Linked DNA regions of Arabidopsis thaliana. The protein of the gene in region 1 interacts with the protein of each later gene in a pairwise test. Each region holds a gene or a part of one and is shown in the gene's direction. Other genes may lie near its edges.

Region 1 (4,898 bases):
ATTCTGGAAGAACTCAACTTCTCCTCTATATTCTTCAGCTCTTGGTTGTAGTTTTCAAAATAAATGGTGGCACACCATTTACGAGAATCAAAACAATGCGCTCCAAATTCCTGATCCCGTAAGCGAAATGATAGGTAGACACGTTGATCAGCTGAGTGGATTTCCCATCATACCGACAGACTCCATTCTTAGGTTTGATATATGTTTCAAACACGTATAAACATCATAACATTAATCAATATTTTTTTCACTTGTGTTGGATTCTTTCTTTCTTTGTTCCCTGTATACTTCAATATTATCTTAAGAGTAACATAGAATATATGTCATCAGATAGTAGGAAGATTGCTTCAGCCACTAAAAGCGAGAGCTCAACCCCTAGTCCTTCAGCCTCATCTTTCTGCTTCTCATTGGTGAGATCAGTCTCTTTAGTGTAAGGAATATTATTGACTGACCTAAAAGGTAAAGAGAATATCTAGATTGTAGTAATCTCTTATTGTTACGGATAACACCGTGAGCCATTGACATTGATTTCATCTTTTTTGAGATGGTCGAGATGTCTGAAGGATTCATCGAATATGGCTCTAGATGCAGTTTTTTTTTGGGGGAGATTTCAAATCTATGAATCAACATATAACGAAACAAAAATCAGATTAAATATATCACAAAACGTTCGATTCAATCGGGCAAGTGAGAGAAGACGAACCCTAGATTAATAGAAAGAAAATAAACGATGCAGTCACCTTGTTGTTGTAGTGTTCTCTGAAAACTTAATCTTAGACGAATAATATCTATTTGTATATAGGAAAAAGGCTTTAATGCTTTGTGGATTAAAAGGATATATATAGAGGAAAGTAAGGAAATAAATATTTATGAGGAAATTTGGTAGAAGATAAGTTTTTATCTTAACTAATGATATTATTTTATATATTTTAAAAACAAACCCCCGCGGGAGTTATAGATTGCTTTAATACTAACATTAGTAATGCAAAAATACTATACTACTAGGATTTAACCTGTGGTATACCACGGGGCAAATATTTTATTTATATATAGTAATCTTAAATTTTACGGTTTTAAATTTAGTATTAAAATTATATAATTTTATATTAATATTGTAAAAAAAAATTAGTGATGATAGAATAATAAATAAAGATTTAACCCGTGTTATATCAATGCAAACCCGTCCCACTATATAACTCGTCTCATAATATTTTAATATCTTTTTATAAGGATAAATATTAATAATGTTTTATAAAGTTAAAATATATCAATAATAATATACCATTAATGCTAATAGATCCCCTTAAAAAAGAATATTAGTGTGTAGTACATTTTAGATTTGAAAAGATTTAAATGATTGTTGTGATATATTTATTTTAATTCTAAATTTTAGTAACAAAATTGATTTATATTTAGATTTGAGAAGAAATTTGTTAAAATATTAAATGCTAATGGCATTGGATGGTAAATAAATCCCAACTTGAGGATTTATTTCATAAAAGTGCTGCAAAAATGTATATGTAGATAAATCTATTTTAACATAATTTTTCTTTTATTTATATATTTAGTATTATTAATTTTATTTAAAAAAATTAAAACATAAGACAAATATGATGTGTTATTTTCCCTTACTTGTATTTTATTGTTCAAATTTTTTCTATTAATAAAGCTATTTAAAAATATTTTGACTAATTATTAGAAATAAAACTGCCAAAATATGTACATGTTTAGCATATCTATTAGTAAAAAAGTTTTTCTATTAATCAAACAATTATAGAGAAATATAATTTGACTAAAAATCCGGGTTGACACTTCCCATTTATACCCTTGATCTGAGTTTTTTGTGATAATTTCATAGATTTGTTGGTTCTGGGAAATAACTTCTAAAAAGTTGTATGTGTCATATGCTGCAAAAATCTAATCGTGAATGGTGAATTCTAAACAAAGACGTAAAATTTTAAGGAAAACATAAATCTTACCGTGAAACTTTGAGTCAGTCGAGATACCATATATATTAGAAAAATAAAAGACATATATAAAGAGAATTGTGGTTGTTAATGAGAGACACATTTCTCTTAACTCAAATCCATCTATTTCATACTAATGCCAAAATTCCAAACATCTAATCCAACTTCTCTCTCTGATCAATCTCCAAATCTTCATATGCAAATCCCCTAATCGAATGTCTTACTCACAATTGTATGTTCACCTCTCCATTATTGATTTTTTTTATTTAACATATATAGAGATTTGTTGTAATTGCACTCGAACCAAAACAATAAAACATTTGTTATTTCAAAACCCTTTTCCAAGACGAAAAAGAAAACCCATTTCCATAGCTAACCTAGTGTGAATTTTGTTTTCTCAGATTTAACCTCCTCAAACGGTGAAATGGTAGGATTAATTTATCAAAAACTTACCTATACGGGTTTTATTTCACTTATGATAAAACGATTCGGCCCATTAACCCATTTTGTTTTTCTGCTAACCCATTGGCCCATTTAGAATTAAAGAATCATCTGATTTAGTCATTTCGATGGTTTTCACTTAAACCCTAGTCTAGTCATTTCTCAGACTCTGACCTCACTGATCTCCAATGGCGAAAACCCTAGCTCGCTCCACAGCGTCACGCATCACCAAGCGCTTAATCTCCACCTCCGGAGCCACCACTCCTTCCCCTTCTTATATCCTCTCCCGTCGATCAACCCCGGTGTTCTCCCATGCCGTCGGATTCATCTCTTCCTTGAATCGTTTCACAACGATTCGAACTCGAATGGATAGGTCCGGTGGATCGTACTCTCCTCTAAAATCCGGTTCGAATTTCAGCGACCGAGCACCCACTGAGATGGCGCCGTTGTTTCCTGGCTGCGATTATGAGCATTGGTTGATTGTAATGGACAAACCTGGAGGCGAAAACGCTACTAAGCAGCAAATGATTGATTGTTATGTTCAAACCCTAGCTAAAATTATCGGCAGGTTAGGGTTTCTTTCAATTTCGTTGATTCATTAGTTAGAAGAAGCATTTAGTTATTGTAATTAATAATCTCTTGTTGTTTGTTTAATCAGTGAGGAAGAAGCTAAGAAGAAGATTTATAATGTATCGTGTGAAAGGTATTTTGGATTTGGTTGTGAGATTGATGAAGAGACATCAAACAAACTTGAAGGTATGTCTTGTTGTTGTTGTTGTTGTTGTTGTAATGTTGGCGATGTAATGGATGGTTGTTGATTATTGTGTGTGTGTTTCAGGACTTCCTGGTGTTCTCTTCATTTTACCAGACTCTTATGTTGATCAAGAGAACAAAGATTACGGAGGTGAGTTTTATGTTAATACTGTTGTTAGTGATTGCTTTAACACAGTCTATGTTTCGTAGTTCTCTGTGTGTTCTGTTTTGTGTCATAATCGATCAAGACTAAGCTTAGAACTAGAATTTTCATATATCTACTCTCAATTAAGCACAAAATCTCAGGCGTTGTTAATGTTAAGACTGTGGAGTGTGGAAGTAGAATCCGTTTCCTGCACTCAACTAGACATAAGACTCTTCTGTGTCACTTTTGTGTGTTCCATGAGTTGTTCCCTGTAGAGAAGCCAAAACATTTTGATTCCAGCCTTAAGTGTCATCTTTGACACCGATCTTTAGTCTGTTTGTTTGATAGAGAAGCTGTTTGTTTGATAGCTGAAGCTCGAGGGTCAAATCTTTAAACTAGCGTCTCTGTTTTGGTTTACTTGTTAAGTTCACTGCGTAATCAAACTCTTCTTCTAACGTATTGTGCAGCTGAGCTGTTTGTGAATGGAGAAATAGTTCAACGTCCTCCAGAGAGACAGAGAAAGATCATTGAGTTAACGACCCAGAGAACCAATGATAAACCAAAGTACCACGACAAGACCAGATATGTCCGAAGAAGAGAGAACATGCGTTGAATCCAAATCTGATATCAGACCATACAGAAGTTGTTGTTCAATGTTCATGTGTCTGCAAGCAACAGATGTTTTCTGTTTTGAGGTCTCTCTCTCCTTATGTAATGGCTTTGTAGTTTGGATTTTAGAACTTGGAATTGGCTAAAACTATTATCATTGCATATACATAATTTGGCCTTTGAACTATGGTTTTCTCGAATTATGAAAATAAAACCAAATCATTGAATTGGTGAGGCCCATTGGTGAGTATATTTAGGTAACACCGGTTATTTCCAATTATTTGACTAAACCGGGTTGAGAAGTTTAAACCGTGACTTAACCGGTTTCGTTACCTAGACTATAAATAACTCTCTTCTCCTCCACTCAACAAATTCTATTAGGGCACGCCGTACAGAGTTTACTCACTAAACAGAGGATTTTGATTCCAATCCGAATCAGCTTGAAGCAAAAATCGATCCATGGCGATTCTTTGGTGTCAACAACAAAAGGGTAAATTCTTTAACTGTTCTGAGGATTGTTTATGAGAGTATTATAAGTCACTACATTTGGTAAGCAAAGTGTTGTTTCTCAAACGAAGTGACTTATGATAATCTCATGAATGGATTTTGCAACTCTTAAAGAGAGCATAGTTCTTGTGGTGCGGCTTCTTGATATTAGGATCTAGAGCATTTTGGTAGATGGTTAATGTGATTATGGTAAGGTAGAGAAAACATTAGTTGATATGCAGCAGCTAAAGCGTGAAATGGATTCTTGGTTTTTAGTATATTATCATCTTTTTGTGTGTTTGTAATGCAGGAATTCTCAGCCTTATAGTCCCACTGTCTTCTTGTGTCATGGATTAGAGAAAGTGAAAGGGAAACAACTAAATAAATCCCAACATCTTCCACCTTACCGGCCTTGAACATTGATAGCTGTTAAAATGGAAGATGCTTTGGGATTTATTTTGTAGTCTTTCCTTCTAAATAGTGTTGTATGGTGATAC
Region 2 (4,339 bases), 9.8 Mb from region 1:
TTCAAGTCTTCTTCTTGATATAATGGTTAAAACTGGTGCTTACTAGTATCGTTTTTCTTTCCCTTTGATTCATGATTCTTTTAATTACAGTGGTTCGTAACATAATCTGAACCCGAGGACACACACACGATGATGCATTCGACGGTGCAGCATGGGGGAAACAAGAGTGGCAAGTCAAATGTATGGGCTAATACTAACTTGGCAAAGACAGTGGCAGCTGTAGATGAGTTCAAATTTGGATTCCCATCAGGCGGGTTAACAACTGTGTCAAACAAATGGTGGGGAAGGGCAGAGAAAGGCGGACGAGAAGATGGTGGAGGAGAGAACACTGAAAATGGACATGTAGCAGCTTGTGATGAGACGCAAAATTCTTTGGTAGCTATTAGGAAAAGAATAGCGGAAGAAGGAAGAGAAGCGGTTGAACTTGGTCTGCATCAAGGATTTGGTTCAAAAAGACCAGGCAAGAGAGATCAAGCTTTGCTGTTTCAGATCTTCAACTCTGCAATGCCAAAGGATTGGGTTACCCCTGATTCTTCCTAAGTTCGTTTGTAGATTTAGAACAGAGCTCCCTCTTAAAAATTATGCTCTGTTATATGTAATCCGCAAGTTCATTAACTCCTGCAACTATGTTATTATGTCTCTAAGTGAACTGGAAATACAACAGGAAGACTTGCGATCTTACGAGTCTACAAAATCATTTCTGTTAATTGCAAAAACATGGGAACAAATAATATAGAGACATAAGAACTGTCCTAGAGCCTTTGGAGGAAAATTAACAAAAACAGAGGTGACGCCGAAAGAGGGATTTTTGCTGGTATACGTCTCAGAAATTGGAACCAAACGTACATGCCTTTGGATGATCTAGGCTTTTCGTGCTCTACTGTGCGAGAAACAAGACATGTTTTCATGTCAAATGCCTGCAATGCGAGGATACAAGAAATTATCATGAAAGAGCTTCAATTGCTTCTCAAAAGTTTCGAACAATCAGCATAATAAGATTCAGATAGCAAGCAGCAGCAGTAAGTCCATCAGGCAAACTAAAGACTTCTCTAACTCCAATCCAATCACCTTCTGGGGAGGCTTAATATCTACCCTAACTAAATGCACAAGAGAAGGTAGGATAATGTTTAAGTAAATGATGGACTTATCCTTTTGTGAAAACATATACTACGAATCATGGGAAACCGTGAAACTTGTTTCAGAGATGAAGATGAGGCCAAACAGCATATTGTATCATAACACTCATCACTTAGAAACCCGCTAATGAAACCATAAGACCAAAGTAGCAAAAAGAACTAGATAAGTACCAAAAATTGTTACAACAATAGCAAAATTAGTGTCAAGGAAACCTTAACAAGCTTAAGGTGTGCGCAAAGAGCATCATCAAGTGTTTTACCTCTGGAAAAGCTCCGAAAAGTAGCGAGTACCGTTGTATAAAACGAACCACATCAAAACAACCACCAAAGAATCTGAAAAGAGTTGAGGAAAGGCAAAGAAGATGCAAGCAAAGATCTTAAGTCCTTGTAAACTAGCAAAAAATTATCTCAATTGACAGTATATTATTCAGTAGAGACTATAATCCAAACTCTGAAGTTGAAGACAAAATTTTAAGAAAGTAGCTTTTTAAAAACAAAATTCTAAAATTGAACAGACACAATGCTTAAGACGACAACACAAGAGAACAGAACACAATGCCACCATATATCACCAAAGATGTAAAAATCAAAACTTGCATCTTTCTAATGAAAGGGTAAATCGAAATTGGAGCACAGATAAACCAAAATCGATGGAGAGAACGAATGAAGCATGGAGGGATAGAGTGAGGAAAAAAGGATACTGAAGAGGTATCGTTCCCACCAATCAAGCATGTAGAGCCCGAATGTGACATTATAAAGGTAGATTTTGCGTTGAACCCAGTTCATATCTTCTGATCGATTCCTACAGTAAGAAGCGGGAGATTACAAATCTGAAATTGACAAAAACCTGATCCAAGATTCAAAATTTACCCGGTAAATCTCTGACAGAGAACTTGACAAAGATATACTAAACAGGATTACAAAGCGCCTGGAGATTCTCGATCTAGGGAACTGTATCTGACTCCAGATTTTGATTGAAGTGTCGTCGTCAAATACAGAAGAGAAATCAAATTTTGACGGAGACGTCAAAGTTGGAAAACTCTGTCACGGTAAATACTAATCTCATCCTCAATTCATTTTCCCACCCCGGTTTAGTCTTAATTACCGGTTTAGATGAACCAGGTATTCAAAATCGGTTTGTAGAACTAACCGGATAACGGAGACTGCAATGTCACAGAACGTGTGCGCTTTGTAAGAAGACCAAACATGGTGACGACGACCATCGGCGGAGTTCCGGTGGTGATTGCTCAGTCTCGGAGGATTCCAACGAGCCTGAGATGCTTCTCTGCCACCGCAAATTCTGACCTTCTTCGCTCCCAGCTTGATCGGCTTCACGCGGAGGCAGAGTCCACTCGTGCCAAAGGTGGAATCTTTATTCGCTAATCTTCGTTTTAATGTGTGATTTCAAAGTCGTAGACTTTGGAAAGATGAGGTGCTGGTTTCAGCATGGTTTTACTGCTTGTGAATCCAGTGATTGATGATGTCAATTTGATTTATTTTTGGTCTTTGTTGTTGTTGGTCCAGCAAACAGTAATAGGTTGAGACTTTTGAGATTATCTGAGGCTGCAGAGAATCTACGGGAACAAGCAGCTGTCAATGTTCGAACAGGGAAAGAGAATGATGCCAGAGATCTACTTCTTCAGAAGAAAAAAGTTATGCAAGCTTTGGACAAGGCTAAAGCTCGTATCGAGTTGCTCGATACGCTTTCTTCCAAACTTAACGAGGTACAAACAAACAATACTCTTACTTGTTAAGAAATGTTATTGTTTTGGTTGTTTGTTTGTTTTCAATTGCCCCAGAAATCTATCTAACTATGTCTTGAAAGCTTGGTTTGGTTTCAGGCAATATCTGTCAAGGAAACACAGCTGATAGGCAATATATCTTTGGATCTCGAAGAGGATGGAGAGAATACTTCAGGTGGTATCCACATTGTATCGCCAAAGCCCGAATCTACTGAAGACGGGGTCGAAAATGACCACACTCACTTGGATTCTGAGGGAATTCAACTTATTGAAAGGAATGTTGAGGATTACCAAGAACTTCTTGATACCAATAATAATGTACTAGAAGATGTTTCAATAGGTAGCATCCTGAAAGAAGTGTCTTCTTATGAATCTTTCTTGGAAAATTTAGACCAGAAACTTAGCAGAATCGAAGCTGAACTAGTTACTGTTGTAAATGTTGCATCCTTGGTGCTTAATCATGAAGATAAACCCAAGAATCTTAAGGTTCAGCAGACTGCAGAAATTCTTGAAGAGATTCGTCGTGTGAGGGAAAGGTAATGCATTCAAAGCATCACTAAGTTTTACTTCTAACACTGCAGAATTACTCAGTCCATTAAGTTTTGTTTTGCTTGTGTAGAATCGCAAATATCATTTGCAAAGAGGCAAACATCAGTTAGTGTGCTTCAAGCATTACTTACCAGCGCAGTGAACTAAAGAAAGGAAGCCACTCTTGGTATGAAAAGTTAATCTAGCAATTTTCCTTTCTTTAATCATTCTGTTTAGACAGGTATAGTCATTTTCTTGGTGTGAATATTAATATCTTCTAAGGTGATACATTAAATTTTGATGTGATATGAAGTTAATATGGTCGTTCACGTTAATGTTGTTGTGATATGGGATCATGATTATTAATGTGATATCAATACTTAGGAGCATCATTAAGTAAATAATAAGTGAATAACATACTATTAGATTAGATGTATACAATTAATATTGATTTCAACTAACTCTGAAATCATTTCATTTGTTCTAGGAATAAAATTAATGGCACTAAAGCGACAGGTTGAGATTATGGACTATACAAATCCAGAAACAAAATCATATAAAGCAAACATTTTCAATACATATCAATGGTCCCGAGTGATAAGAAATAGAAATGATGCCAATGAATCAACCATATAGAATTAAACATCTAAGTCCTGAAATAACAATAATATTTAGCTTTTCAAACAAACAAAAAAACTAATGAAAATTCGGAATAGTTTATCTGACAATGCCTTCATTTCCAGCAAGAACCAAGTACTTATCCCTCCTTGTGAGATTAGTGCATTCAAATCCCAAAACCCTAGCAAGTTCTCCCTGTATGAAATTCGCAACTTCAAAGCTTGACTTGCCTCCTGCACAAGTCATCTCTTTTGGCAACTTCTTTAAAATCTCAAGACAATAAACCGGCCTAGGGTTCATGAGGAAGAAGATAGG

What was found.
Region 2: the proteins of AT1G32580 (region 1) and AT1G06510 interact in a two-hybrid assay, tested with the Arabidopsis thaliana proteins (one large-scale study listed by BioGRID).

The regions. Positions count from the first base shown.
Region 1 is NC_003070.9:11,781,512-11,786,409, forward strand, and holds AT1G32580 (plastid developmental protein DAG), read left to right. Parts: upstream 1-2,031; 5' UTR 2,032-2,596; coding exon 2,597-2,976; intron 2,977-3,066; coding exon 3,067-3,164; intron 3,165-3,246; coding exon 3,247-3,312; intron 3,313-3,773; coding exon 3,774-3,919; 3' UTR 3,920-4,193; downstream 4,194-4,898. Other genes in the region: AT1G32575 (uncharacterized protein), read left to right, coding at 39-122. UniProt on the Arabidopsis thaliana protein: Involved in organellar RNA editing. Required for the processing of few RNA editing sites in mitochondria.
Region 2 is NC_003070.9:1,990,047-1,994,385, forward strand, and holds AT1G06510 (forkhead-associated domain protein), read left to right. Parts: upstream 1-2,182; 5' UTR 2,183-2,342; coding exon 2,343-2,499; intron 2,500-2,660; coding exon 2,661-2,860; intron 2,861-2,977; coding exon 2,978-3,414; intron 3,415-3,497; coding exon 3,498-3,537; 3' UTR 3,538-3,795; downstream 3,796-4,339. Other genes in the region: AT1G06500 (uncharacterized protein), read left to right, coding at 130-540; AT1G06515 (transmembrane protein, putative (DUF3317)), read right to left, coding at 905-917, 1,397-1,469, 1,838-1,922; GPAT1 (glycerol-3-phosphate acyltransferase 1), read right to left, coding at 4,124-4,339.